Stegostoma tigrinum: one gene and its partners. The protein of the gene in region 1 purifies or fractionates together with the protein of each later gene. This does not show direct contact. Links are inferred from orthologs where the notes say so. Each region holds a gene or a part of one and is shown in the gene's direction. Other genes may lie near its edges. The genes, in order: ptenb, usp10, otud3 and hsp90ab1.

Region 1 (7,353 bases):
ACAACAGAATTGAACCATTACCTCACTACATTCAATGACATTCTGGTCACCGAATTCCTCCTCATTATTAACATCTTGAGGTTACCATTAACCAGAATCTGAACTGGGCCAGCCATATAAGTACTCTGGTGACAGCTGCAGGTCAAAGACTCGGAATTCTACAAGGTTAACTCACTTCCTGTCAACTCAATGCTTATCTGTCATCTATGAAGCACAAGTCAGGAGTAGAGTGGAAATAGCTTCATTTACCTGAACAAGTGCAGTGCCATCAAAACTTAAGAAGCTGACATCAGCAGGACAAAACAGTCAGCTTGATTGGCATCCTAACCACTATTTTCAATATTCGCTTCCTTTGCCACTAACACAATAGCAGCAGTGCATAAGATCTACAAGAGAATTTGTGGCAACTTACCAATGATTCCCTGACAACACCTTCCAAATTCACACCACTATTATCCAGAAGGACAAGGGCAGCAGATGCATGGAAACATCACCACCTGCAAGTTCACCTCCAAGCATATCATTTGGACTCAGAAATATTTTGCCATTGCTTCACAGTTACTGGTTCCAAATCTTTGAAATCCCTTTCCTAATGTCACTGCAGGGGTACCTAAACTTCAAGGAGTAGAGTGGTTCAGGAAAGCAGCTCACCCCTACCTTCTTAAGGGCAACTAGTGCTAGGCAAGAAACGCTGGCCCAACGAGTGACTTCCACATCCCACAAGTGAACATTAAAAAAGACAACGGAAGGAGATTGTGGGTTTGTTTCTTGCAAGTGGCAATGGAGAATAATGTACTTGTGGGTCATCTAAGGTTTACAATGTGGAAGTATAATAGATGGGCTTTGGGAGCAAAGGGACATGAGAAATAAAATGGACTTGGATCACTGTAAAATGCACAGTACGGAAGGACATTTGGGGTCCACTAGCGCCCCATGCGTGGAAAAGTACTGAGCACAGTTTGCAGGTAGTATTAAATTTAGGAAGCCAGATGTGGGATAACAAATAGGTCCTGGATTTTTGTAGCGTTTTGGAAGGTGAGTTTTCAAAAAAGTACTACAGCAGAGGACGTAAAGCTTTGGTATTCGCCAAATTGATGGCAAGGGGTTGTTGAGTGTGACGTGCATGGACGAAGAGATGATACTGAATGGTTAAGGTTGAGACTTAGTGAACGGACGAGTGTGGTCAGAAGTCCAAAGAAACTGTGGCTTTTGTGTGTGTTTGCAGCTGGACAGTTTTCAGTGAGGATCAAAAGCAGTGTCATGGTTGAAAGAAATGGGAGCCATACAAGACAGCTGTATTCAGATTTAACCAGGGAGAGATCTTATTACAACATGACAAATTAAAAAAAGGAATTTGCTTAGGTTAACTTTATCTGAGCATCAGAACACAAAAGTCATTGAACCAAAACTTGACTGATTTTCACTCCACAGTGAAGTTTCCATCATTTCATAGTTAAAGCATTCGGTAAAATGGCACCAGAATTTAAATTAACTTAACTTGCAACTACAGGTGTGGAAAAGTTTATCATCTTGCTTAAACAGTTTCTCAATGCATTGCCATTATACCAGTTAATATTGCTACTGGATAAATCAGATCCCAGGTTGAAACCTGATTTGAAAGATCATACATTTTTCTTTAAATTAACATGGTCACCTTTCATTGAAACACAAGCAGGAAACACTGCAGAATTTATTTTAACAATAAAACAGAAGTTCATTATGCAACAGAAATGAAGCTAAAATAAAATAGAAAAAAACTAAGCTCTGTACTGTATGATTCTAAGCTATTTACACATAACACAATTTTAAAAGATTGAAACAGTAAAAATACAAGCCCATTTATCCAGACACCTAAGGTTTCTTTCTCTCTCTCTCACATCTAAAGGTTTAAATTAACTGTTTTTTTCCCCCCAATTCCTGGTTTTGTGAATTGTATTACCTCTCCCTTGATTAATAACACATCTGAGCCTAGTTTTCAGCTTCAAATAAACCCTTCATGCTTCTAATTAAATATTTTAAATATGGAATTTCAAACTAAAACCCTGACACTGAGATAATCTACTTCCTAACTCTTCTGAATTATCTCCTTACTCCAGGAAAGACTGTTCACACATCTAACTTCAACTAGGACTTCTGTCAACTAAAACCAAAAGGTTTACAATTCATAGATTTTCTCCAAGCTAGGGGGAAAAAAGAATCTTGATTCTTCTGAGTCAAAGCCAAAGCCTTTCAACGTTTACTGTGTCCAATCCTAAAATTCTCACAATAGAAACAAATGCTCATTAGCACTCCAAGAGGCTGCTCTCTGTCATAACTGGTCGAAAAAAAATCATGGCTCCAGAAGTAAAACAGAACTGCAGTTGCTGGAAATCTGAAACAAACAGAAATTTCTGGAGAAACACAGCTTGTCTGGTATTATCTGTAGACAGACAGCGAAATTAACATTTTGAGTCCGCAGACCTTCTTCGAAACTGATAGAAGCTAGGAAAACATGGTAAATACACTGAAGACTCCATGTGAAGAGAAAATGACTTCAGAAAACTGACAAGATAATTATTAAACCCCTTATAACAGACCAAGATCTGCGCACAACTAGTCCAAAATCCAAACACTAATATAGACAATATTAATTTGCATAAATCATAAATCCTAGGTCAGACCACACTCCAATCAATTGTTCAGAATGTTTATAAAATCATTAATTCATTTAAAATGAATGTCTCTCTTCCTCCTCAAGAAAGATGTCTGCTGCATTTGGCAAAAGAAAAACTGGTATCACATCCCTAGCTATAGAAAGATATTCCATTGGTTTGTGAAGAATTAGAATATCCAACATCAATGATTGTGCTCCTGAGATGCTGCTTGGCCTGCTGTGTTCATCCAGCCTCACATTTTATTATCTTGGAATTCTCCAGCATCTGCAGTTCCCATTATCAATGATTGACACTCGCTAGATTGTGAAGGATACTTCTGCTCAGATTTACACTCCAATGAACGTGCACGTTACAAAAACAAAGCCATTGATTATATATTGTCTGCTCCCTTCTTTTCAACCACAACGACTATTACATAAAATTTAAATAAAACTATACAATTGCAACTTAACAAAGCTGATCTGAACTAAAATAATTTGTCCACAAAGACAGTAGACATTAATTAAAATCATCCATACCGTTGTACAAGCTATTTCTAGTTTATTGTCAAATATCAAATTTGGCTTATACATCTTAGTCTTCAATTAATATTTATTAAAATACTTAATGGTAGACTACATTGTCTAATATTTCAAAAGTACTTTGTCAGTCATAATAGAACACTATCTCCAACCTTCATGTGATGAAAGATATAGGTATTTCCCCTTAATGTCTTGACTCCACATATCTGCGGCGGGGAAACAGCCCGATGTCCCACGAGCTCCCAAATTACAATATTCTATCGATAACCAACATACATGCATACACAAATCTACGAATAAGATCCATAAAATAATTGGAATAAACAGTGAGGATTTCAGAAGTGTCTGAGACACCACCTGTAATTGCCAAGGCAGCGGTATGGAAAAGACTATTCCCGCACAGTTGCCATCTCGTTCAGAAACTGTGGTTTTACTTCCAAGCTCAGTCCAAGACAGTCCCAAAGTGCTCTAAGGCTCAACATCAGGGTGCACTGTCACCGGAAATCCCAGAGAGACAGCGATTCCCAAAGTATGGGCAGCACGGGGTGGGGGAAACGACCGTATTCCTCAGTAATGGATTCCACGCAACGATATCAGTTGATCAAAATCCAATGGATAAAACCGGCCCGAAAGGCGGAGAGCGAGAGTTTGTAACACATGCGCAAGCAGGTTGCTCCTTTACCAAGATGGCGAAAGACAGAGAGCGAAAGAGAGAGAGACTTTCCCCCTCCACACAGCCCGGAAAAAACCCTCCAAGTCACTTGGTTCATCATTCCATGAATAAACAGATCAATGAGCGTCGGGTTCCAGCCAAATCCTCCCCGTACGTTCTGCACGATCTGGTTCTTTTCTCCCCGGATAGCCCGGGCATTTTTGGTAGCGGGGACCCGTGAGGCTGTACTCGGTCAATGGGAGTGAGGGTAGAGAAGGGGGCGCTTCCGCTGTTCGCCTTCGGGGTAAGTAACCTGGAGACTCGGCCGTTCAACGGCCGCAACTCGCGCTCTACTGGCCACGCCCCCTTCCCCTGGGAGCCGTACCACCCCCCGCCCTCCTCCACCACTGTTCAGGAGCGACAGGAGAGAGAAAAAAAAATCATCGCAGCGGACACGTGACTGCGCAAATAGTGCCAGCACGTCCTTCTCACGCCGCTGCGAGATCGCCAGCACCAATGTTGTAATACTGATTTAATTCACTTCGTATTCGAACCTACACCCCCCTCCCCCAACATGCCACTACATACTCTCAACCCTGACACAACAGCCGGTCCCGAAATCCAACGGCTGGCCTGGAAAAGGGTACAAGTCAATCCCAGGGCAGTGCTTGGAAGGGCGACTGAGGAGATTTAATTGGTGAGCGGGGAGAAGAGTGAAAGCGGGGACTATATCCAAAGGGCGGAGTGTTACACGCTCTCTCTCCTCCTCCTCTCCCCCCTCCCCCTTCTCTCTCTCTCTCTCTCGGTCTCTCTCTCTCTCTCTCATTCCCACTCGGGGCCATTGCGCTTTTTTTCCCTGGGAAGCCATCATGGAAGTTTGAGAGTCCGGCGGTGGCCCCAGCAGCAGCCTTGGTGGGGGAGGGGGGGGGAAGAAGCTGGAGTCGGTGCTGTGGCCGGGACGGGAGCTGGAGCCGTGGCCAGGGCCGGGGCCAGAGCGATCGGCCGAGAAAGAAAAAGGAAGGAAAGAAAGAGGAAAAAAAGAAAGAAGAGCAAGTGTGCGTGTGCTGGAGGGGAAGCTCGGCTTCCTGCTGACTTTTTTTCTGAAAAATAATGCTTATAATTTTTTAACACGGAGTGGATCAGGATCCCGGAGTGTGTGGATTATTATTTCTGACGGAGCGCAAGGAGAGCAGCCACGGATGTATTTTTTAAAACGCGTAATTTATTGACAGCGGAGGGGTAAAGGAATCGACTTCTTTGGATTTTTTAAAAAAAGATCCCTTTCTTTTAAGCGAAGGCATTGAGATTTTTTCCTCCCTCCATTTCCCTGCCTATCAGCCCCCCCCTTTCCCCCCACCCCCCGACCGACGGTAACGGCGGCGGCGGCGGTGGAGGCGATCGTGGAGGAAAAATCGTAGCAAGAGGCGGTGAATGTGGCCACCGTCTTCCCCCGTTGCCCCACCAATTCCTCTTCCCGCTAAAGGGTTTTACTTTTTACCCCCTCTCTCCCACCCCCACCCCCCGTTTTCCTCCTCCTTTGATGGTCATCTGAAGAAACCGGAGCAAATCCACCACCCCCCAACCTCCCTTACTCCTGCGGAGGATATTAACGGAGCCGGGGGGGAAAGGCGAGAGGCAGATTGGGAGAGAGAGAGAGTGCGTGTGTATGTTGTGGAGCTGGGTGTTAGGCCCCTGTGTGACAGCAATCCAGAAGGTGCCAACAAACCCATTTCCACATCCTCCACCTCCACCACCTCCTCTTCCTTCAACCAGGCATGGCTTCGAGAATCAAAGAACTTGTCAGCAGGAACAAGAGAAGATACCAGGAAGACGGATTCGACTTGGACTTGACATGTATCCATTTTTCTTTTCATAAGGAGGGGTTTGGGTGGGAGGTTGGGGTTTGTTGAGGAAGGTGGTTTCAAATATTGCGTCTTTATTCTTGCCTTACTGAATCAAGGTTTGAATGGAGACGTGCAAAAAAAAATCGATGCACTCCCTTTACTTCGTATTAGATAAGGGAGGGGAGACCCTGCCGTCACTCTTGCAGAAACTGAGGGAAATTACACAATTTTAACAAATTGGTCCTATTCAGTGCTGGAGTACAGTTAAATTGAGTAACTTGCAAGTGACTGTATTAAAATATTGGGTGAGTTCCTTTTTGTTTGTTTTTCTTTAAAATATGAGTAATTAGGTGTACAGGCCTTGCATTATAAGTTGAATGTGTAATGTCATTATATACATTGCTTTGTGGTACTGAAATACCTATTGTGCAGATCTAGAGCTGCCATGCGTAGCCTCTGCAGGGGGGCATACGTACTGCACAGAGTGCGTTAGGTCTTGGCCTAGATTAGAATGGATGAAGTTAATTTTGTCTTTGGCTAAAATGTTTAATATCTGTTGAACAATTTTAAAGTGTACGTTTTACGTTCAGTAGTTTTGCACGAGCTTGCGATAATAAAAATAATCATTTTGCATGGATGAGTATCGTTAATTCACGTTGCTGCTATTGTAAATCACTAGTGTTCAGGAGTTTAATTTTTACTTTGTGCACAGTGAAGCAGATGTCCCTGACTTGAGCAGTAGACTCTGTAGGTGCAGTTGAGAGCTCGTAGCATTTTGCCTTTGATACATATATCGTCACTGACAATGATTTTAGGAGTCATTTGAAGTTGTCTTTGCTTGACTTGAATGGATCTAGTGTCTCGTAATTTTGCTGATCTTGCTATAATACCGCTGGCCTTCTAGTTTAGCAGTTTTAATAGAAGGAAGGAATACAGTAACATGCAATAGGAATACTGTAACAAGCAGTTTATGGTGGTGATGTCATGGTGCATCAGTTTAAATTACAAGACGCAATGATCTTGTGCACTGCTACGACTTGAAATAGCGTCTAAATTTTCACTAGATTAGAATAAACTGCAGTTTTGTATTTTGTGAAATGGTTTGATATTTAAAGGGAAAAAAGTACTGAAACTTCTGTTTGAGGAATGTGACTTGCAACTCAGTAGACTTGAATGCCCATTATGCGCATTAGGCTAAATTGGATTGTACTGTCTTTGGATGAGGCAGGAATTATTCATTCACGATCCAGAATCCAATTTGTGTGTTGATATAACTTGAATTTTTTTTCCACTGGTTGGTACGTTTGTGTTGACGTTTTGGTTAATCAATTTTGCCTATTTTCACAGTTTCCTTTGCTCAGGTGTAAAGCTTTGCAGTATATATATGCTAGATATTTGCATAACTTTGGTTGAATATCTTGAGGCAGAGCCACTAGGGTAATACTATTTTGTAAATAATAGCAACATAGCGTTCAGGAATGATATTCATTAGTACTTGACTGTTAATGCTTTAGGTTAATTATGACAGAGCTTGAAAGAAACCTATGTGTCTCAGATCTACTGGATGGGAGAATATTTTAAAAATGCATGATGTTAGTCACTCAGTGCTGCTTGAATACAGTATGGCTGCTTTATATGTGATGAACTTTACAAGTTGTTTGAGTTTCATGCAGTATATTTAT
Region 2 (7,837 bases), on another chromosome or scaffold:
TTTATGGTCAGCTGCTGTTATGTGAGTAGCTCCAAGAAAGTGAAAGCCAGCCATAAATAGAGGGTATCCTGGCTCAAACCACAAATGAGAGTTGTGAACCCTGCAGTCTTTCTTTCCAGGTTACTAGCAGCAATATTTGAGAGATTAACCTTGGTGCATTCATGACCTATCTTTGGGAAAGCATCTAGGACCAGAGGACATAATGTCAGAGTAAGGAGTTCCCCAGTTAGGAAACAAAGACAGAACTTCTATCGATGGGTAGTGGATGTCTAGAATTCTTTTTCGCAGAGGGCAATTGAGGCTAAGTATATTCAATGCTGTCATTGTGGATACAAAATCCTACTTTCACTTTGAGAATAACTACCATTGTGTTGTGTGGCACTATCACTGTGCTAAATGGGACAGATTTTGCACAGATGTAGAGCAACTCAAGACTGGGCATCCATGAGGCACTGTGGGCCATCAACAGCGGCAGAACTGTACCGCATCAAAATTTGTAACCTCATGGCATGGCATATGTCCCATTCAACCATTACCATCAAGCCAGGGGATCAACCCTGAGTCAACAGAGAGTCAAGGACGGTATACCAGGAGCAGAACCAGGCGTACCTAAAGATGAAATGTAAACCTGGGGAAGCCAACAGACAGGACTACTTGCATGCCAAACAGCATAAGCATCAAATGATAGACAGCGCTAAGTGATTCCACAGCTAATGGATTATATCTAAGCTCTGTAATCCTACAACTGTGAATAGCGGTAGAGAATTAAATAACTCACTAGAGGAGTTGACTCCACAAGTATCCCCATCCTCATTGGTGGAAGAGCACAGCACATCAGTGCAAAACATAAGGCTGAAGCTTTCACAGCAATCTTAAGCCAGAAGTGCCGAGTGGATGATCTCTGTCAGCCTCCTCCAGTGGTCCCCAGCATTTCAGACGTCAGGCTTTAGCCAATTCGATTGACTCCACCTGATAGTCAAGAAATGGTTGGAGACACTGGATACTGTAAAGGTTTACAAGCCCTGAAAACATTCCAGCAATAGTACTGAAGACTTGTGCTCTAGAGCTTGCCGCTCCCCTAGCCAAGTTGTTGCAATACAGTTACAACACAGGTATCTACCCGACAATGTGGAAAATTGCCCAAGTGCATCCTGTGCATAAAAAGCAGGACAAATCCAACCCTACCAGTTACTGCGCCATCAGTCTCCTCTCAATCATCAGTAAAGTGATGGATGGTGTCATCAACAGTGCTAGCAAGTAGCACCTGCTCAGCTATAATCTTTCCAGTTTGGGTTTGGCCAGGGCCACTCAGCTCCTGACCTTGTTACAGCTTTGGTTCAAACATGGAAAGAAGCACTGAATTCCAGAGATGAGGAGAGTTTTAAAGCCCTTGACATCAAGGTTGTATTTGATCAAGTGTGGCATCAAGGACCCCTAGCAAAACTGGAATCACTGGGAATTTAGGCCAAACTCTCCACTTGTTAGAGTTATACCTGACACATAGTAAGATAGTCATGGTCGTTGAGGTCAGTCATCTCAGTACCAGGACATCTCTGCAAGAGTTCCTCAGGGTAGTGTCCTAGGCCCAACCATCTTCAGCTGCTTCATCAATGACCTTGTCTCTATCATAATGTCAGAAGTGGGGATTTTTGCTGATGATTGCACAGTTCAGCACCATTTCAGACTCCTCAGATACTGAAGCAGTCCATGTTCACATGCAACAAGATCTTGACAATATCCAGGTTTGAGCTGACAAGTGGCAAGTAACATTCGTGCCACAAAAATGCCAGTCTATGGGCTTCACCAATAAGAGACAATCTGTTCACCTCCTTTGACATTCAGTGTGTTACCGTTACTGAATTCCCCATGTCACATCCTGGGGGTTATCATTGACCAGAAACTCAACTGGACTCACCATGTGAATACAGTGGCTACAAGAACAGGTCAGAGGCTTGGAATACTGTGACAATGTACACACCTCCTCATTCCCCCAAACCCTGTCACTATCTAAAGGCACAAGTCAGGAGTATGATGGTAAATGCCCCACTTGCCTGGATGATTGCAGCCCCAACAATACACAAGGAGCTTGACATCATCCAGGACAAGGCAGCCTGCTTAATTAGCACTATATCCGCAAGCTTACAGTTCCTCTACCATTGACACTCAATAGCAGAAGTGTGTACTATTTACAGAAACTCACCACATAGCGTCAGGTACACACGTTCTAAACCCATGACCATTTCCATCTAGAAGGACAAGAGCAGCAGATATATCAGAACCACCACCTTTAATTTCCTCACTAAACCACTCACCACTCTGACCTGGAAATATATCGCTGTTCCTTAACTTTTGATGGAATTCCCTCCCTAATGACATTATGTCAACCCACAGTGGTTGGATGGCAGCTCACCACCACCTTTTTAAGAGCAACTATCTCTGTAGTAGTTGATAGGTTATTTTAGGTTGGGGAAAGATTTGTAGAAAAAGGTCTCCTGCGTCAGGGTCGGGATCCATGCTGAAATAAATTATTGATCTAGACCCCACTGTGCAGAGGTAGATAGATTTTGCAGAGCACAATTCCAAAACAAATTACACAAAACTTGGAAATATTGTAAACTATGAAGAAGATGGAGTAGAACTTCAAAAGGAAATAAATAGTGGATTGGGCAGACAGGTGGCACATGAAGCTCAATGAAAAGAAGCACAAAGTGTCTCAGTTTGACAGGAAAAAAATGGAGATGATATGATATAAAAAGGTACCATCCTAAAAGGGTGCATGTGTAGTTGATATGATTGAAGGTGGCAGGATAGTACTAAAGAATGATTAATATATCTATGAAGTATCATAGACTTTATTAGCATGGTCATAGAGTGTGAGAGCAAGGAGTACATTCAATTATTTGAACAAGCCATAGGCCCCTCAAGCATGCTTTGCCATTTAATACCTGATTTGATATTAATTTTTATACACAAATGTAAAGCACTGATTTGGCCTTAACTGTCCAGTTCTGGATTCTACACGTCGGCCAAAAACAAAGGCATTTGAGATTGTGCAGAAAAATAATTCATAAGGTTGGTTTCAGCAACTTTAAGTTCCGAAGCAGATTGGAGATGCCCCGTCAGTTTTTCTTGGAGAAAGGAAGCCTAAGAGTAGTTTTTTTTTTGGATTAATTTGTGGGACGTGGGCATCACTGTCTGGCCAGCATTTATTGCCTGCTCTTCTGATGCTGCTTGGCCTGCTGTGTTCATCTAGCTCTACACCTTGTTTTCTCTATCAATTACTACTCTTGGTTTCGTGTCAGTCAGCCAATTTTGTACCTGTGTTTTAGTATCCATTTATTCAATGGGCTATGACCTTGTCCACAAGTCTATTGTGCAGCATTTTATCAAAGACTTTTAGCATGTCACTCATTAACTCTGTCTGTCATCTCTTCAAAGAATACAGCAAATTTATTGAACACATTCAGTGAACAATTCTGTCCGAGATTCCTTCATTACTCACATTTGTCCAAATTATTGGTTATTTTGATAGCATGACAGATTCGTGCTATCAAGTGGTAATGTTGTGGAGGTGCAGTTTTTCTGAAAAGACATCAAATTAAGGCTCTCAGATAACATGGTGTAGAGCTGGATGAACACAGCAGGCCAAACAGCATCAGCGGAGCAGGAAGGCTGATGTTTCAGGCCTTGACTGTTCTTCAGAAAACGTCTGCTTGCATGGTTGTATGTAAAGGTCCCGGAAGCAGTATTTCAAACTGAAGTATCTTAGAATAAAAGATTCTGAAGAAGAGTCAGTTCAGATTTGAAGCAGTAACCCTGTCTCTACAGACGCCGTCAGACCTGCTGTTTCTTGCACGTTTCAGTGGCGATATATATTCTAATGACCCAGTTCAGGGATGTTATTACACACATGTGGTGCAGGAGGATTTGAACTCAGGGCTACTGGACCAGAGGTATGATATGAAGGTGCTAGTGTTGGACTGGGGTGGACAAGGCCAGAAGTCACATGACACCAGGTTACAGTCCAAGTTTATTTGAAATCACTAACTTTCAGAGCAAAACCCCTCAGGTGAACTAAAGACTTCTGATTTGGACCACAGGTACGAATGCTACTACTGTGTCCCAACAGCCCTTCTTATGTTTCAGCATAAATATTCATTCCTGAAACAACATCACAAAATATATATTCGCGAGTTATTATCTCGCTGTTAGTTTTGAGGTTGATGAGCACAAATTGGTTTGTCACTTTCACTAAATTGGAACCCTGGCCGACACCTGAAAACTCATGAGTTTCAAAATGACCTGAAAACAATCCGTCCTGAACTAAAATCGAATTATTGCACACCTCAACGAAGATCAGAAGCAAAATCCAAAATAAAACTAGACACCACTTGAAAATTGAATTGCTCTTTTAAACAGAAAACTATTAGGCGGCATTTCCTCCACCCTTGTTGCAAGCTGACCAATAGGCACGGAGAAAAGATCAAGTGGGGTTGGTTATAGCCAATCGTTGAGCAAGGGGTTCGCCGGCCGCGCGCGATTTGTCCAATCAGGAGGCCACTATTCGCCTGACTGGTAAGCCATTGGCTGGACGGCGGCATCCGCGAGCGGACCAACAGGACGGCGAATACGAAGCTAGTAGACCAATAGGAGAGCGTGAAGGTGGCAGACCAATGGAAGAATATCGTTGCTGCCGACGGACCAATGGAGAAGGAGACGCGGGTCATAGGGACGAATGGGGGAAAGCTGAACAGTCAGACCAATAGGAGAGCGCAGAGGTGTTGGACCAATGGGAGGGCAACGGTTGGGGGCGGGTGTCTCGGGGAGGTGCCAGGGACACGGGCGCGCAGGCGCACGGCCTCTGGCGGAGCAGACAACATGGCGGCAAACGGGGAAGCATGAGTTATCTCATTCAAAAGCAGCAAAATGGCTAGCAACAATATAAAGGTGAGGAAAGTCGGGGATGGCAGGGCAGCGGCGGACGAGCATCGGGGACTGGGCGGAGAATGAAGCGACCTTGCGGTTGAGGGGGATTTAAGATGAGAGATTTCGTTCCCTGTCGAGGATGAGGCGGTGGTAGCGCGGGGGGAGGGTGGGGGGAGGCGGAGAAGGCAAGAGAATCCATGAGGTTTAGGCCCCAGGGTATTTTCCTCAGCCTGACTACTTGCGGTCGCAGAGTTTTAGCCCAGGGCCCCACACGATGCTATCAGGTTGTCGACTACCCGAAGGATATATCTCGTTAATGAGACACGCCCGCCCTGGTGCCTCACGTTTCGCTTTGCCTGGATCTGAAATGCGCCGCGGCCCTGTTACAGGCCATCTTCCATAGTTCGGCTGCATTCCAAATTGTTCGGTTCAGCAAGAAAACATTAAAAGAGATGAGCGGTGGGGGAGGGGCGCATGATGATTCATTCCACCTTGGACTCTGTGTCCCCTGCAGTTAACCTGGAAGGGATTCTCTTGGACGGCAGGGTATATCCTTGAGTTTTATCACAGCAAATTGGGTGGAAAAATGCTTCAAGATCCACTTGTGAACATGTACTTTTATCAGTCGGGAATGGTGGAAGTGGATTCTGACCATTTTATTTTGGGGGTGGGGGTGCCCCTGTTTTGCACGTGTTCTGAACGAAATCCCTTGGTTTCTGCCTATGCTACAGTATACACATCACACCTTAGATTTTAGTCTCACTAATTATATAGTTCAACCTGTATGCCTGATCAAACTTGTGGCACACTTTAACATCTAGAAAGTTTTGTAACGGCGTTGAGTGGGATTTGAACAGTTCATCTTGGTTTATTCAAATAAATCACACGTGTGGATAAGCTGCCAATTATGTTGTAATGTTTAACATAAAATCTGACGAGCATTTTCTTTCTTTGTATGTCATTATTAGAACAATGAGTCTACAAATTTAACTTAAATTTTAAAAAGCCCTTAAATTCAGAATTGTCAGCTGAATTACCAAAATCATGAGTGCAGAAACAATTTACTGAACATATTAAATGTTGCAAACATAGATTTTGGTGTTTTGCTTTCAACTGTACTTTTAAAAGTTGCTTGCTTTATGAAGCTTTTTGGTATTTGAACTTTTTAGCTGCTTGCACTTTGGACTGCTTTCTGGCTGTTAAATTTTAAGTTTTAGTTATTCGTACAGAACATTTCAAAAAAATTTAGTCGGGTGAGCTGGGTAGTTGTCGGGAGCTGATACATATTGGATCAAATAACCTCCCTCTGTACAATAAATTTCTGTAATTCTAAAAAAGTCATGCTGAATTTTTGGAGAAAATTTAGAACTGAAATTCATCAGTGCGAATATGCATACTGTTTGATCTTTTGCTGTGCCATTTGGTCATTCCAATTCTCTGTATACACCAAGATTTTGCTCTGGGCTAATATCTTTGTGCGTTCGGCCACATGGTGTAAAGGGGTGACCAAAAGCCAATGAGACCAACACACAGGAGGGGTGGGGGGATAAAAAGCCACAATCTGACACAGCTGACTTCACCCATCTGTAGGTGAAGAAAGGAGGGTGCTGGTAAACCCAAACATGAGAATGGGGTGTTGTCGAGCCTATGGCTTCACAAGAGCGTGCCCAAGTCAAGGAAGAATATCTGCAGGCAAAGACATTATTGCATCAAACAGTATGGACCACCACCTTAAATAGCTGCCATGGATAGTTCGATCAGTATGACAGCTCATTCTGCCAGGAACTGCACGGTTTTGAATTGGTCTTGATAGATTAATTTATAATGTCTGCTTTATGAACAAATCCATTGGTTGAAAAGGACTCTATTTTGGCTCTTGTTTGAATTTAAAGCACTTACAAATAGTTCAACACAAATAAATAAATTCTAACCAGTCTGGATTTTTAGCTGTAAGGGGACGGGCTGAAATGAGAGAGCTGATAATTATTAGCCTGAAGATCTCACTAATCATTCCCACTACTTATTAATTTCAGTTGTTAGTTATGATTGAACTTACGCATGCAAAATTAATAGTTGAAGATTGGACGTGTCTGTTTGGAGTTTCATCTCTAATATGGTATCAATGATTTTTTGCAATTTTAAAAATACTTTTTTCCAAATATTATTTATTAAAAGTTATTTTCAATTTTAAATGAATTTACTTCATCCAGTTTTGTTTTCATGCAGAAACTGCAGTGCCCAATGAAAATTGACAATCCATAGAAGGGGGACTTTCAAAATCACCTGTACAACACCTAAATATTGCATTTATGCAGCACCTAAAGTGCCATGAGAAATTTCTGCTTACGTTTGTCTTACATAGATTTGTCTTAGATCATTATTGAAAATTATTGCTGTTGCAGCAAACAGTTGTACTTGCAGGCTACATTGTTCAAAACTGAAATTAATTGTAAGGTCTAATTTTGAATATGTATGGCTTTTTTAACGAAAAACTATTTTTATGACACATGCTTTCTAGATTGTTGCCACTGTTTTTGGTTTCTTACTATTTTAACAATCAGCAGATAAATTGACATTACAGATCTACCCTAGATTATAGTATTTGGTACAGATGAAATGACAGTCCCTCCAATTTAAAACTTCTGGCGCAAATGTATATAGGAAGCATATGTATAAACGTGAAGCTGACGACAATTCTGGTATCCAAATGCACAGTTAGTGTGATTATCCAGCAGTTTTTGTCACTGATTCCCTGCTCTTCTATTCTGGCAGATTGCAATTTTTAGAAGCCAGTTGAACAGATATAAAGTTTCTTTTCTGTGCAGTAATATTGTTATTTTTAAAAATCATTCAGTGAAATATGCTTGAGTTTTTAACAGATGACCAAGTCATCATTACTTCTGGATACCTC
Region 3 (7,610 bases), on another chromosome or scaffold:
ACTTGGTGACAGATACCGGCCCCTGTGGAATTATTTCAGTCCCTTTTAGCAATCTTCACATTTTCTAACCAAGTCCAATATGCTAAACCATAACATTCATGGAGGTCCCAAATCTGAATTCCCAATCATTATAGTGAGTTATTAGAATTATCTGACCTGATAGCAATAGTTCAGAAGGTTGTGGGTTCAAATCCTATGCCAGAGACTTGAGCACATAATCTAGGCTGACATTCCAGTGCAGTGCTGAGAGGGAGCTACATTGCTGGAATCATAATCTACTGAATGACATGATACTGAGAGCCCGTCTTTACTCTGAGATTGTTAGAAATATCCCATGGCATGGTATCATTGAAGGACAGGGAATTCTTGGTGTCTTGCAAATATTTATCCCTCATTTAATATCACTAAATCAGAAGAACTGACCGTTATCACATTGGTGTTTATGGGTCTTTGCCCTCACAAACTAGTGATAGTGTCTCTTCCAATGCATCAGTTACTACTATTGTCAATGCCCAAGACCCTGTACACAGTGGAGTCATTAGACTTTGGCAAAAGGAAAAGATTGCATGAGGCATAAACAGAACCTCATCTCTGAGATTAAGGAGTGAATGGCTTCCTAATATTGCTCTCAAGTACAGGATTTTATCAGGAAATGTCATCAACTTACTGAAATAAGACAAACAGGCTTTTGTTGCATGTTTGACAATTGCAAAGATGCTTGAACATGGAATGATATGTTGGCTGCAGCGCAGGAAGCCATTCAGCCCACAGTAATTGTGCTAGCTTTCCCCAAGATCAATTCACCTGGTCATAGGACCCTATCTTTTCCCTGTTATCTTTCAAACATTTTCCCTTCAGATAATTGTCCAATTTTCTTTTGACAAATGGAAAACATGCACTGATATCAACATGTGCTGATATTGACAACATCAGCTCGATAGGATGATACTTCATTCTCAGCGCGGCTTCACTGAACATTCGAGACACTCACAGGACAAGAGCTCCATCTTCTGCTTTGTCCAGGTTCAGCTAGTGTGTGACAGTGTGTTTTTACTGCTAACTTTCTACTCACAGCTCTCAAAATGATAGAAAGTTAATTGTAAAAAAAAATTAAATGTTGAAAAACTAAATAATGTGTCAGTGATTGCAATGGAATAAATTACAGTATTTATAGCTCATTATACATGTATGGTATTATTACGAGGAACATGCAAACAATCTGTAATAAAATAAGTAGAATGCTGAATTACATCGCTAGGTAAACTAAGAACAAGCCAGAAAATATTATATGAAAATTGTATTGGACATTGGATTCAGTTTTGGTAGTAAGGACACAAGGGAAGCATTCAACTTCTAAAAACCATGAAAATAAGTATAATAAGGTTGGTCCTTTGCATTAGAGAATTGATTCCCAGTAAAGTTTGGAGCGAGTGGGGCTTTTTACCTTACAATAAAAATGACTATGATGAAACCTCATAGAAGTAGAAAATATATTAAATTTTACTTCAGGAAACACAAATAGATATTAGGACAAGGGGCTATTTATTAAATATGGCAATGGTAAATAATCAAGAATGAGAAGAAACTTAGACACTTCAATAAACAATAAAATTGCAAACAAAGAGAATGCTGGAGAAACTCAGCAGGTCTGGCAGCATCTGTACGGAAAGAAACAGAGCTAACATTTTGAATCCAGTATGAAGAGTCATAGAGATCAGAGATAATGGGAACTGCAGATGCTGGAGAATCCAAGACAACAAAATGTGAGGCTGGATGAACACAGCAGGCCAAGCAGCATCTCAGGAGCACAAAAGCTGACGTTTCGGGCCTAGACCCTTCATCAGAGAGGGGGATGGGGTGAGGGTTCTGGAATAAATAGGGAGAGAGAGGGAGGTGGACCGAAGATGGAGAGAAAAGAAGATAGGTGGAGAGAGTATAGTTGGGGAGGTAGGGAGGGGATAGGTTTAGCAGTTTCAAGGCCGAAGAGATTACAAGAGAGTTGCAATGGGAGAGAGATTCCCTGAGGTTGGTCCGGAGGGAGGAGGGTAACTTCTTCAGGTTAGGCATCCCTGGAAGAGGCTTCGCATAGATATGCTGCCATACGTACATGTACCATAGAATAGTACAGCACAAGTCTGTATCCGTCCAATTCCTGCCCAAAGGTAAGGTACAAAGTGATAAGGGTGCAGACATCTCCAAATTTAATTCCTGATCAGCGCTGAATTAGACGAGCAGACACAGCAGCAATAAAATCTCCTGTAAAATGCCAAACCTTCCCACTGAGTTTCTCCAGCATTCTCTGTGTTTGTTTCAGATTTCCAGCATCCATAGTATTTTGTTCTCATTGCAATAAATTACAATCTGATGTGTGTTTTATTCTATGGATGAGCTTTTTTTTATACTGCTGTTTCCACCATCTATACTTATCTTGTGACTTTGCCTATATTGTTGTGTTTAATTAAATCGCCATTTAATCCAGAGATGTTGCTCTTCATGTGCTTACATATATTGCAAGAGTTTTTCATTGACATTCACTGGCTTTCTACATTAGGAACTGATTTTCACACCATCTAAGAGATTGCAATGTAATCACTGACAGGTGACAAACCACCATGTTGTCCCTAACTTTGAAATTACTACATATATCCATGCTGTTTTAACATAACAGTGGCTCTGAATGCTAGCAAACGTCCATGGAACTCATTGATGTGGCATTCAATACTTTATCTCATTCACAATTAGACTCACTTTTTACATTAATTAGCATTTTGAAATATAATTTTCACTATAGTAGATATCTGATGTTGACTGTTCCCTTGTATCCAAAATGGTTAGGTAATCCCACATTAGACCATACGAAAAGGAATAGGAATAAGATGTTTGGCCCCTGGAGCCTGCTCCACCACTTAATAACATCATGGCTGCTCTGACATTTTTCACGTCCATCTTGCTGCCCTGTATCCCTTGATTCCCTTACTGAACAAGAATTCATCTCCGCCTTGAAAATACAACATGTCTCTGCCCCCACAGTTCTCTGTAACAAGGAGTTCTAAACACTCTCAACCCTCAGAGAAGAAAGTTCTCCTTATTTCAATCTTTAAATTGTTGCCCCTTTATCTTGTGACTGTGCCCTCTGCTCTGAGACTCCCTATGAGGGAAAACATTCTCTTGTATTTACCCTGTCAAGCCCCTTAAGAATCCTATATGTTTCAATGAGATCACCTCTCATTTTTCTGAATTCCAATGAGTAGAGTCGCAACCTGATTAGCCTTTGCTAATTAAGGAAACACGTTGCATTGAGAAAGGATATTTGGTGTAGTAAAATGGAAATATGTACTTTACAGTCTGTTAACAAATAAAATTTGACCCTAATCCCATAAGGAGATGTTAAGACTAATGAGTAAAAGGGGTAGATTTAACAAATATTTTCAAGGAGGAAACAGAGGTGGAAATGTGGATGAGAATTTTAAAATTGAAGTACAGAGGCAAAGGATGAATATGACCTTGCACAAGTGAAGATGCAGAAGGCCGAATTTAGATGAACTCAAGTTTATGAAGGCTGAAAGACAAAAGGTCAGCCTGGAGGTAACAAGGGCACAGATATATATTAAATATATTTCTTTTAAAACTCACAGTTTTACCTTTCTTCTTGTGTAAGTTTGATGTTTGCTGTGTGCAATTCTAACACCTCACATGCTCAAGTACCTTAGCTAAATAACAATGTCCTTCATGCTTTAACTTAGAAAACCTCAGCAGATTTTACTGGCTGATATGGGGGACAGTGAAGTTCAATTTTATTATAACAGAATATTCACAATTGTCTCTTTTCAGCATGGATTACTCAAAATAATCAAGATTTTGGCTTTTATTCCCTTTTAACTACCCTAAGGCAGTACAGTTGAGTGGAGTGCCTTTTCTTCACCAAAAATATACTTAACAAATTCTGCTGTGCCCAACCAGTCCTGAAGAAGGATAATAACCGAAACGTTGACTTCGCTTTTCCTCCAGACGCTGCCTGGCTTGCTATGTTCTTCCAGCCTCCTCTGTGTCTAATTCAGCACATGCTGGGATGAAAGCAAGATCACTTTGAGTCTGTACGTTTTAGATCCACTCTGGTTAACATATTTAATAGCCACAATGAGGTAAAAGTAAGGAAAAAAAGATTTCAAACCTAACTAGAAATCATTTCTATTTGTACCAAGAGCCAGAGAAACCTACTGTAATTTTGTTTTGTTTTGTAGGCATAAATGTCGCTGCATGGAGACAGTTAAAATATTTAAATGGTTGAAACCCAAAACCTTCCCTTTGAAAAGGATGAGCATCAAATAAGAAATAGATTTACCCACGAGGCAATATGAAATCACAAATTAGTTTAAAAGACTGCTGCCAATTAAGAAATAGACTGGGATGGATTTGGATTGTAATTAAAACAGAATGAAATAAAAAAGATTGGGATTGAATTAGGATAGAAATGGATAATGATTGAAACAGTCTGCGATTATATAGTGGATTCGTGCTGAAGGAGACTAAATTAAGGATTGAGGCAAGTTAAAGTTTTTTTGTTTGGGGGCAGTTTAACTCCTGCAAAGGTTGAGATTGAGAAGAGGATTAAAGGTCCTGGTTGGAGTAGGTTCCAGAACAGATTGATGGCTAGTTGAGTGGTTTGCTGAAGTTAGTCCCAGCGCTGCGGACGCTAGGAAGGTTGGAAGCCAAAGGCCGCGGTTTCGCGGCTGCCGGGTTTTTTTTTGGAGGTTCACGCCGTGAGAGCCGCCTTCCGTGCGTGAGGGAGCCGGCAGCTTCAGGCCCCTGGGACCCGCCTCCCCAGCCCTGGCGCTAGTCACCTCCGGCGGGCGGCGCCGACACGCAAAGCCCGAGGCTTCAGACTTGGCTCTAGGCCCTACTTGAAAAGAATAAAACCGGCAGCGGGTACGTTTTGTTGCGTCAAAGGATATCACAATGTAGCAGGACTGAGCTCAGCTTGTCCGACTTCACTCTATAACATCATATAGTATAGTTGTTCAGCTTACCGTCAGCGCTCAATAAATATCTTCCATTTTCTCCCTTCTTTTGCTGCTTCAGAACTTGGGGTTTCCTCCTTCAGTTGGAGGGCAAGGCCAGAGTGTCCTTGGCTCCGGTTTCTCGCCCTCCACCCCAAGCCTTGCATCTTCTTCTGCAGTTGGACCCTGTCACTGTGCTGATACTCTGCCCTATTGCCTATCTGATGATCCTGGTTCGCTCTCTGCAGCTTCCATGTGGTCCTAGCCGGCCTGTGAGCCATGTCCAAGAAGCAAGCGGTCAAAACCAGGACTAACAAGAAACTGGATTTGGAGCGGAAAAGAGACGAAAAGGCGGTGAGACGAGCCCTGGCTAAAGAGAGGAAGAACAGGCCCCAGGAGGGATCAGAGGATGAAGAGTTTTTGAGCTTTGCCAACCAACTGCTGGCCATGGGACTCAAACTCAGGGAAGTTCCTGGTGATGGGTAAGAAACACGGTATCACACAGTCATTGCCTCATGATTCTGCAGCATGAGACAGTTTTAATATTGTAAGCTAAAACCTGTTGGTGATTGATGCTATGCGATGTTTTGATTCTGTCATTGGTGTAATACTTAACTTTGAATTTGCTCCTAGAGAGTGGAGGAGTTAAACTTTGTTTTTCATATGGCATTCTGCTCAGCAGATACCTCATGTTGAGTTGTTAATTCTGTTTTTTCGCTAAAACTGCCTGAGACTAAATTGGTCACCAGCTTTGCTGTGTGTGGAGACCATAATTATTCAGCGGTGAGGGATTGGCAGTTTTGAGGTTTAAAAACCCAGCTGCTACTGATGTCATTTTCAAAATCTATCATGGTCAAAAGTCAGATCTAACTTTTCAACACACTCAACTTGAATTGAAAATTCTTTGCTTCAAACCTGAAGTCGGTGTGTATGCCCAAGCATTTGTTACAAATTTTATGTAGAATATAGACCAAGCAATCCTGCAGTCAGATACTTTCTGCCTTGTAATCTTTCCTCAAGCTGAAGTTATGGTCTTTACGTTCTGATAAAGGATTACTGGATACAAAATGTTAACTCTGGCTTTCTTCCACGTTTTTTGCCAGATGTGCTGAGTTTCTCCAGCACTTTCTGTTTTTGTTTCATGACTTCTATTCCTGGTTTTAGAAAAAAATGGCATCAGAGATAATGGGAACTGCAGATGCTGGAGAATTCCAAGATAATAAAATGTGAGGCTGGATGAACACAGCAGGCCAAGCAGCATCTCAGGAGCACAAAAGCTGACGTTTCGGGCCTAGACCCTTCATCAGAGAGGGGGATGGGGAGAGGGAACTGGAATAAATAGGGAGAGAGGGGGAGGTGGACCGAAGATGGAGAGTAAAGAAGATAGGTAGGGAGGGGATAGGTCAGTCCAGGGAAGACGGACAGGTCAAGGAGGTGGGATGAGGTTAGTAGGTAGATGGGGGTGCGGCTTGGGGTGGGAGGAAGGGATGGGTGAGAGGAAGAACCGGTTAGGGAGGCAGAGACAGGTTGGACTGGTTTTGGGATGCAGTGGGTGGGGGGGGGGGAAGAGCTGGGCTGGTTGTGTGGTGCAGTGGGGGGAGGGGATGAACTGGGCTGGTTTAGGGATGCAGTAGGGGAAGGGGAGATTTTGAAACTGGTGAAGTCCACATTGATACCATATGGCTGCAGGGTTCCCAGGCGGAATATGAGTTGCTGTTCCTGCAACCTTCGGGTGGCATCATTGTGGCAGTGCAGGAGGCCCATGATGGACATTTCATCTAGAGAATGGGAGGGGGAGTGGAAATGGTTTGCGACTGGGATGTGCAGTTGTTTGTTGTGAACTGAGCGGAGGTGTTCTGCAAAGCGGTCTCCAAGCCTCCGCTTGGTTTTCCCAATGTAGAGGAAGCCGCACCGGGTACAGTGGATGCAGTATACCACATTGGCAGATGTGCAGGTGAACCTCTGCTTAATGTGGAATGTCATCTTGGGGCCTGGGATAGGGGTAAGGAAGGAGGTGTGGGGGCAAGTGTAGCATTTCCTGCGGTTGCAGGGGAAGGTGCCGGGTGTAGTGGGGTTGGAGGGCAGTGTGGAGCGAACAAGGGAGTCACGGAGAGAGTGGTCTCTCCGGAAAGCAGACAGGGGTGGGGATGGAAAAATGTCTTGGGTGGTGGGGTCGGATTGTAAGTGGCGGAAGTGTCGGAGGATGATGCGTTGTGTCCGGAGGTAGGTAGGGTGGTCCTCTTGGGGCGGTTGTGGCGGGGGCGGGGTGTGAGGGACGTGTTGCGGGAAATACGGGAGACGCGGTCAAGGGCGTTCTCGATCACTGTGGGGGGAAAGTTGCGGTCCTTGAAGAACTTGGACATCTGGGATGTGCGGGAGTGGAATGTCTTATCGTGGGGGCGGAGGCGGAGGAATTGGGAATAGGGGATGGAATTTTTGCAGGAGGGTGGGTGGGAGGAGGTGTATTCTAGGTAGCTGTGGGAGTCGGTGGGCTTGAAATGGACATCAGTTACAAGCTGGTTGCCTGAGATGGAGACTGAGAGGTCCAGGAAGGTGAGGGATGTGCTGGAGATGGCCCAGGTGAACTGAAGGTTGGGGTGGAAGGTGTTGGTG
Region 4 (8,002 bases), on another chromosome or scaffold:
GTTCTGGAATAAATACGGAGAGAGGGGGAGCTTACTAACCACTTCACACTCAACAGACAGATATACAAACAGATCAACAGCACATCAATGGGATCACCCATCTCAGGCCTCATCGTAGAAGCAGTGATGCAGAGATTAGAAAAAACAGTCCTTCCTATAACCCAACCAAAACTGTGGGTATATTATGTGGACAACACATTTGTAATAATCAAATGCACAAAAGTAGAAGAAACCCACCTCCCCAACCATTCTTGATAACATGCCTCTATGGGTATCAGTCCCGTTCCTGCACAGATGGAACCATCCAGTTTCACCTGGCTCCCCCCAGAACTGGGCCCAATGTCCCAGGAATATGAAACCTGACCCCTTGTATCATCTCTTCAGCCATGTATTCATCTAATGTATCCTGCTATTTCTGCTCTGACGACCACGTGGTATCCTCAGATCGCTACCTTAGAGATCCTCATTTTTAAACGTGCTTTCTAATTTAGTACTATCTGCTTTCAGGACCTCGGTCTTTTTTAAAAAATCTATGTAGTTTGCACCACCATGCAACCACTAGCAGTTCATCCTCCCCTCCTCAAAATGTTTTGTAGTTGCTCTATGACAACATTGACCCTCACATCAGGGGTGCAACATTCTATCCTGGAGTCTCAATTGCAGTCACCAAACTAATTCTCTTACAATTGAATCCCCTATAATGATTACATTCCCACACTTTTTACTCTTCCACTATGCAGCAAAGTCAACCATGGTGCACCAAATTTAGCTATTTCTGCCATTCCCCTCAACAGTGTCCAAAGAGGTTTATCTGCTTTGCAGGGTATAGTCACAGGAGACTCCTGCACTGCCTGCCTGGTCCCTTTGATCTTCCTGATGGTGACCATTCTCTTCGTCCATGGTGTGACTGCCTCTCTGTACATATTATCCACAATGAAGAATACTGGGCTTCCAGGAGCTATAGATAGAGACACTTCTCGCACAAATGCTACCATTGACTGACTTCTCACATTGAGAAGAAAGGGCACTCTGTAGCTCTGATCTCTCCTGGCAGTAGTTAAATTGAACTTTTCGGAAGATGCTTAATATCAAATAATGTTAATTACTCTAGGGTTCTTATTCCTGGTCCTATATCACTATAGAATTTAGTCCTTACAAACTATAAGCCACAGACAACAAAAAAAAAATCAATTAAAGCACCTCCCCTCACCCCAGCACTGAATTCCCATTGTGCTCCAATATCCCAGAAATACACACGCACCGTCTATCTGGTAGTCTCTCACTGAGGATGTGTTCTCTCCCAACTGTACCTGCTACCCATGTCCCTCGAGATAGAAGTGGTCACGGGTTTGGTAGGTGCTAAGGAACCTTGGTGAATCCCTGCACAGCATCTTGTAGATGATCCACACTGCTGCTACTGAGTATTGGTGGTAAAGGGAGAGAAGAGGTGAGCTGCAGGAATCCTAACCCCTCACTTCAGCAATTAAGAATGCACAATATCCATCAACTGGGGGGGGGGGGGGGGGGGGGAATTAGCACAAATATCAATAATAATCATTCTAAATTATAACAAAAACAAGTAGGCAACTGTTGAAATTAAATTTGGATGTTAGCCGTCATATTGATATTTCCTTGTGAATCTTTCAGTGCTGACATCTAGATGGTGACAGACACAAGCAAGCAGTGGATGTTTGACAAAACAAAAGTTCGCTCAATTCCAATTGAAAAGTTGTTTTGCTCTCTGTACAGATGCTGGCAAATGTGATGAGATTCTACACTTTTGTTTGTACCTCAGCTCTCCAGCATCTCCTGCAGTGTTTTGCCTTTGTTTTACATCAGTGGAGTTTGCAGGCTCACATTCCAAGGGCCATAGATAGCTAGGCTGAATGAACCCTTTGGTCAAAACATTGAGAAAACTGTGCAACTTGCTTGTGTCTTGAAGGCACTGTGTGGTCAGTGAGCAGGAGCCATGGGGTATGGAGTGCAACTCAAAGCTGAGCTGCTGGGCCTTCGGTGATCGAAGACCTGAACATGGATTGGAGGAGATGCAAGATCTGGGTCTGGTAATGGATAGGGACTGGACATGGGCACAGATTGCAGGGGGAGCTCTGTCCCTGGCAATGTTGGGAGGGTTGTGGGGTAGGGCTGCAGGCTGAGCCTGGAGGCAGCTTTCACTCTCTCTGAAGGGCCGAGGGTTCCCTCTCTGGGAGGGGATCGGGGTCTCTCTTTCTCCATCCCCATCAGGACTGGGCTCAGGATCAATCTCCCTCACTCAGGTGGGCGGGTGGGGCATCAGATCTCTCCGTCTCTCTCTCAGGAGAAGCCATGGTCGTCTGTCTGTCTCTCTTTCTCTCTCTCTCTCTGGAAGAGGGGGATCAGGATTCCTCCATCTCTCTCTCTCTCTCTCTGGGAGAGGGGGATCAGGGTTTCTCACTGTCTCTCTCTGGGAGAGGGGTATCAGGGTTTCCTCTCTCTCACTCGGGGAGAGGGGAATCAGGGTTTCTCTCTCTCTCTCTCTGGGAGAGGGGGGTCAAGGTTTTTTTTTCTCTCTCTCTCTGGAAGAGGGGGGTCAGGATTTCTCCATCTCTCTCTCTCTCTCTGGGAGAGGGGGATCAGGGTTTCTCTCTCCGTCTCTCTCTGAGAAGGAGGGATCAGGGTTTCTCTCTCCCTCTCTGGGAGGGGGATCAGGAATTCTCTGTCTCTCAGAGAGGGGGATCAGGGTTTCTCCCTCTCTCTGGGAGAGGGGAATCAGGGTTTCCCGCTCTCTCTCTGGGAGAAGGGGATCAGGGTCTCTCACTCTCTGGGCTGGGAGAGGGGAATCAGGATTTCTCTCTCTCTCTCTGGGAGAAGGTGATCAGGGTCTCTCACTCTCTCTGGGAGAGGGAGATCAGGGTTTCTCACTCACTCTCTCTCTGGGAGAGGGGGATCAGGGTTTCTCTCTCACTCTCTCTCTGGGAGAGGGGGAGCAGGGTTTCTCTCTCCCTCTGGGAGGGGCGAATTAGGGTTTCTATCTCTCTCTGGGAGGGGGATCAGGGTTTCTCTCTCTCTCACTCTCTGGGTGGGGGAACAGGGTCGCTCTCTCTCGGGGAGAGGTGGATCAGGGTTTCTCTCTCTCTCTCTCTGGGAGAGGGGGATCAGGGTTTCTCTCGCTCTCTGGGAATGGGGATCAGGGTTTCTCTCTCTCTGGGAGAGGGGGATCAGGGTTTCTCTCTCTCTCTCTCTGGGAGAGAGGGATCAGGGTTTCTCTCTCTCTCTCTCTAGGAGAGGGGGATCAGGGTTTTTCTCTCTCTCTCTCTGGGAGAGGGGGATCAGGGTTTTTCTCTCTCTCTCTGGGAGAGGGGGATCAGGGTTTCTCTCTCTCTCTCTAGGAGAGGGGGATCAGGGTTTTTCTCTCTCTCTCTCTGGGAGAGGGGGATCAGGGTTTTTCTCTCTCTCTGGGAGAGGGGGATCAGGGTTTTTCTCTCTCTCTCTGGGAGAGGGGGATCAGGGTTTTTCTCTCTCTCTCTGGGAGAGAGGGATCAGGGTTTCTCTCTCTCTGGGAGAGGGGGATCAGGTTTCTATCACTCTCTGGGAGAGGGGAATCAGGGTTTCTCTCTCTCTCTCTCTCTCTCTCTGGGAGAGGGGGATCAGGGTTTGTCTCTCTCTCTCTCTGGGAGAGGGGGATCAGGGTTTCTCTCTCTCTCTGGGAGAGGGTGATCAGGGTTTTTCTCTCTCTCTCTGGGAGAGGGGGATCAGGGTCTCTCTCTCTCTCTGGGAGAGGGGGATCAGGGTTTCTATCAGTCTCTGGGAGAGGGGGATCAGGGTTTCTATCTCTCTCTCTGGGAGGGGGAACAGGGTTTGTCTCTCTCTCGTGGAGAGGGGGATCAGGGTTTTTCTCTCTCTCTCTGGGAGAGGGGGATCAGGGTTTCTCTCTCTCTTGTGGAGAGGGGGATCAGGGTTTCTATCAGTCTCTGGGAGAGGGGGATCAGGGTTTCTCTCTCTCTCTCTCTGGGAGAGAGGGATCAGGGTTTCTCTCTCTCTCTCTCTCTAGGAGAGGGGGATCAGGGTTTTTCTCTCTCTCTCTCTGGGAGAGGGGGATCAGGGTTTTTCTCTCTCTCTCTGGGAGAGGGGGATCAGGGTTTCTCTCTCTCTCTCTCTAGGAGAGGGGGATCAGGGTTTTTCTCTCTCTCTCTCTGGGAGAGGGGGATCAGGGTTTTTCTCTCTCTCTGGGAGAGGGGGATCAGGGTTTTTCTCTCTCTCTCTGGGAGAGGGGGATCAGGGTTTCTCTCTCTCTCTCTGGGAGAGGGGGATCAGGGTTTCTATCTCTCTCTCTGGGAGAGGGGGATCAGGGTTTCTCTCTCTCTCTCTGGGAGAGGGGGATCAGGGTTTCTCTCTCTCTGGGAGAGGGGGATCAGGGTTTCTCTCTCTCTCTCTCTGGGAGAGGGGGATCAGGGTTTTTCTCTCTCTCTCTCTGGGAGAGGGGGATCAGGGTTTCTCTCTCTCTCTCTCTCTGGGAGAGGGGGATCAGGGTTTCTCTCTCTCTCTGGGAGAGGGGGATCAGGGTTTCTCTCTCTCTCGTGGAGAGGGGGATCAGGGTTTCTCTCTCTCTCTGGGAGAGGGGGATCAGGGTTTCTCTCTCTCTCTCTCTCTCTGGGAGAGGGGGATCAGGGTCTCTCTCTCTCTCTGGGCGTCTTCCCGCCGCCATCACTTTTGCCTGCCGTCTCCTTGGTAACAAAGGCCCCGCCTTCCCCGCGACGTCCTTACGTCACCGCATAGAAAGTGCTGGAACAAACTGTGTAACCGCCCGCCCCCGCAGCATCTCCCTCCGCTCTAAGTAAATATCCCGCTGTTCCAGCCACCTTTCTGGGGCTTTGTGTGTCCCCCCCGGTTTGGTGTCGGGGACAGGGCCCTGTGCGGGTTGTGCTTGTGCAGTATAGGGAGGGCCACTTCCGGAGGTCCAGGTCTTACCGCCATAGCCCTCCACCGCGGATTGATCTGTTCATCCGCGTGGGCGGTCCGGGTGTGATCCGGTCAGGACCATCAGGCCTAGCGTCAGCTTCGGCATCGTGTCCGGTCACCGGTAAATCCTGTCAGAGAGAGAGAGAAACACGGTAATTATACCCGGTATCGTGTCCGGTCACCGGTAAATCCTGTCAGAGAGAGAGAGAGAAACACGGTAATTATACCCGGTATCGTGTCCGGTCACCGGTAAATCCTGTCAGAGAGAGAGAGAGAAACACGGTAATTACACCCGGTATCGTGTCCGGTCACCGGTAAATCCTGTCAGAGAGAGAAACACGGTAATTATACCCGGTATCGTGTCCGGTCACCGGTAAATCCTGTCAGAGAGAGAGAGAAACACGGTAATTATACCCGGTATCGTGTCCGGTCACCGGTAAATCCTGTCAGAGAGAGAGAGAGAAACACGGTAATTATACCCGGTATCGTGTCCGGTCACCGGTAAATCCTGTCAGAGAGAGAGAGAAACACGGTAATTATACCCGGTATCGTGTCCGGTCACCGGTAAATCCTGTCAGAGAGAGAGAGAAACACGGTAATTATACCCGGTATCGTGTCCGGTCACCGGTAAATCCTGTCAGAGAGAGAGAAACACGGTAATTATACCCGGTATCGTGTCCGGTCACCGGTAAATCCTGTCAGAGAGAGAGAAACACGGTAATTATACCCGGTATCGTGTCCGGTCACCGGTAAATCCTGTCAGAGAGAGAGAGAAACACGGTAATTATACCCGGTATCGTGTCCGGTCACCGGTAAATCCTGTCAGAGAGAGAGAGAAACACGGTAATTATACCCGGTATCGTGTCCGGTCACCGGTAAATCCTGTCAGAGAGAGAGAGAGAAACACGGTAATTATACCCGGTATCGTGTCCGGTCACCGGTAAATCCTGTCAGAGAGAGAGAGAGAAACACGGTAATTACACCCGGTATCGTGTCCGGTCACCGGTAAATCCTGTCAGAGAGAGAGAAACACGGTAATTATACCCGGTATCGTGTCCGGTCACCGGTAAATCCTGTCAGAGAGAGAGAGAGAAACACGGTAATTATACCCGGTATCGTGTCCGGTCACCGGTAAATCCTGTCAGAGAGAGAAACACGGTAATTATACCCGGTATCGTGTCCGGTCACCGGTAAATCCTGTCAGAGAGAGAGAGAAACACGGTAATTATACCCGGTATCGTGTCCGGTCACCGGTAAATCCTGTCAGAGAGAGAGAGAGAAACACGGTAATTATACCCGGTATCGTGTCCGGTCACCGGTAAATCCTGTCAGAGAGAGAGAGAAACACGGTAATTATACCCGGTATCGTGTCCGGTCACCGGTAAATCCTGTCAGAGAGAGAGAGAAACACGGTAATTATACCCGGTATCGTGTCCGGTCACCGGTAAATCCTGTCAGAGAGAGAGAAACACGGTAATTATACCCGGTATCGTGTCCGGTCACCGGTAAATCCTGTCAGAGAGAGAGAGAGAAACACGGTAATTATACCCGGTATCGTGTCCGGTCACCGGTAAATCCTGTCAGAGAGAGAGAGAGAAACACGGTAATTATACCCGGTATCGTGTCCGGTCACCGGTAAATCCTGTCAGAGAGAGAGAAACACGGTAATTATACCCGGTATCGTGTCCGGTCACCGGTAAATCCTGTCAGAGAGAGAGAGAGAAACACGGTAATTATACCCGGTATCGTGTCCGGTCACCGGTAAATCCTGTCAGAGAGAGAGAGAAACACGGTAATTATACCCGGTATCGTGTCCGGTCACCGGTAAATCCTGTCAGAGAGAGAAACACGGTAATTATACCCGGTATCGTGTCCGGTCACCGGTAAATCCTGTCAGAGAGAGAAACACGGTAATTATACCCGGTATCGTGTCCGGTCACCGGTAAATCCTGTCAGAGAGAGAGAGAAACACGGTAATTATACCCGGTATCGTGTCCGGTCACCGGTAAATCCTGTCAGAGAGAGAGAAACACGGTAATTATACCCGGTATCGTGTCCGGTCACCGGTAAATCCTGTCAGAGAGAGAGAGAGAAACACGGTAATTATACCCGGTATCGTGTCCGGTCACCGGTAAATCCTGTCAGAGAGAGAGAGAGAAACACGGTAATTATACCCGGTATCGTGTCCGGTCACCGGTAAATCCTGTCAGAGAGAGAGAGAAACACGGTAATTATACCCGGTATCGTGTCCGGTCACCGGTAAATCCTGTCAGAGAGAGAGAGAGAAACACGGTAATTATACCCGGTATCGTGTCCGGTCACCGGTAAATCCTGTCAGAGAGAGAGAGAGAAACACGGTAATTATACCCGGTATCGTGTCCGGTCACCGGTAAATCCTGTCAGAGAGAGAGAGAAACACGGTAATTATACCCGGTATCGTGTCCGGTCACCGGTAAATCCTGTCAGAGAGAGAGAGAAACACGGTAATTACACCTGGTATCGTGTCCGGTCACCGGTAAATCCTGTCAGAGAGAGAGAGAAACACGGTAATTATACCCGGTATCGTGTCCGGTCACCGGTAAATCCTGTCAGAGAGAGAGAAACACGGTAATTATACCCGGTATCGTGTCCGGTCACCGGTAAATCCTGTCAGAGAGAGAGAGAAACACGGTAATTATACCCGGTATCGTGTCCGGTCACCGGTAAATCCTGTCAGAGAGAGAGAGAAACACGGTAATTATACCCGGTATCGTGTCCGGTCACCGGTAAATCCTGTCAGAGAGAGAGAGAGAAACACGGTAATTACACCTGGTATCGTGTCCGGTCACCGGTAAATCCTGTCAGAGAGAGAGAGAGAAACACGGTAATTATACCCGGTATCGTGTCCGGTCACCGGTAAATCCTGTCAGAGAGAGAAACACGGTAATTATACCCGGTATCGTGTCCGGTCACCGGTAAATCCTGTCAGAGAGAGAGAGAAACACGGTAATTACACCCGGTATCGTGTCCGGTCACCGGTAAATCCTGTCAGAGAGAGAGAGAAACACGGTAATTATACCCGGTA

Evidence for each region.
Region 2: the proteins of ptenb (region 1) and usp10 purify together in Homo sapiens (affinity purification with western blotting; 4 studies listed by BioGRID, with this or other methods). This does not show direct contact. The link is inferred for Stegostoma tigrinum from reciprocal best matches to the Homo sapiens genes PTEN and USP10.
Region 3: the proteins of ptenb (region 1) and otud3 purify together in Homo sapiens (affinity purification with western blotting; 3 studies listed by BioGRID and IntAct, with this or other methods). This does not show direct contact. The link is inferred for Stegostoma tigrinum from reciprocal best matches to the Homo sapiens genes PTEN and OTUD3.
Region 4: the proteins of ptenb (region 1) and hsp90ab1 purify together in Homo sapiens (affinity purification with mass spectrometry; 3 studies listed by BioGRID and IntAct, with this or other methods). This does not show direct contact. The link is inferred for Stegostoma tigrinum from reciprocal best matches to the Homo sapiens genes PTEN and HSP90AB1.

The regions. Positions count from the first base shown.
Region 1 is NC_081373.1:46,077,211-46,084,563, reverse strand, and holds the start of ptenb (phosphatidylinositol 3,4,5-trisphosphate 3-phosphatase and dual-specificity protein phosphatase PTEN), read left to right. Parts: upstream 1-4,350; 5' UTR 4,351-5,602; coding exon 5,603-5,681; intron 5,682-7,353. Other genes in the region: atad1b (outer mitochondrial transmembrane helix translocase), read right to left, coding at 3,328-3,457. UniProt on the Homo sapiens protein: Dual-specificity protein phosphatase, dephosphorylating tyrosine-, serine- and threonine-phosphorylated proteins.
Region 2 is NC_081369.1:49,064,661-49,072,497, forward strand, and holds the start of usp10 (ubiquitin carboxyl-terminal hydrolase 10), read left to right. Parts: upstream 1-4,835; 5' UTR 4,836-4,926; coding exon 4,927-4,947; intron 4,948-7,837. UniProt on the Homo sapiens protein: Hydrolase that can remove conjugated ubiquitin from target proteins such as p53/TP53, RPS2/us5, RPS3/us3, RPS10/eS10, BECN1, SNX3 and CFTR.
Region 3 is NC_081381.1:30,523,726-30,531,335, forward strand, and holds the start of otud3 (OTU domain-containing protein 3), read left to right. Parts: upstream 1-4,595; 5' UTR 4,596-4,926; intron 4,927-5,079; 5' UTR 5,080-5,276; coding exon 5,277-5,479; intron 5,480-7,610.
Region 4 is NC_081357.1:1,517,264-1,525,265, forward strand, and holds the start of hsp90ab1 (heat shock protein HSP 90-beta), read left to right. Parts: upstream 1-4,983; 5' UTR 4,984-5,042; intron 5,043-7,751; 5' UTR 7,752-7,801; intron 7,802-8,002. UniProt on the Homo sapiens protein: Molecular chaperone that promotes the maturation, structural maintenance and proper regulation of specific target proteins involved for instance in cell cycle control and signal transduction. Undergoes a functional cycle linked to its ATPase activity.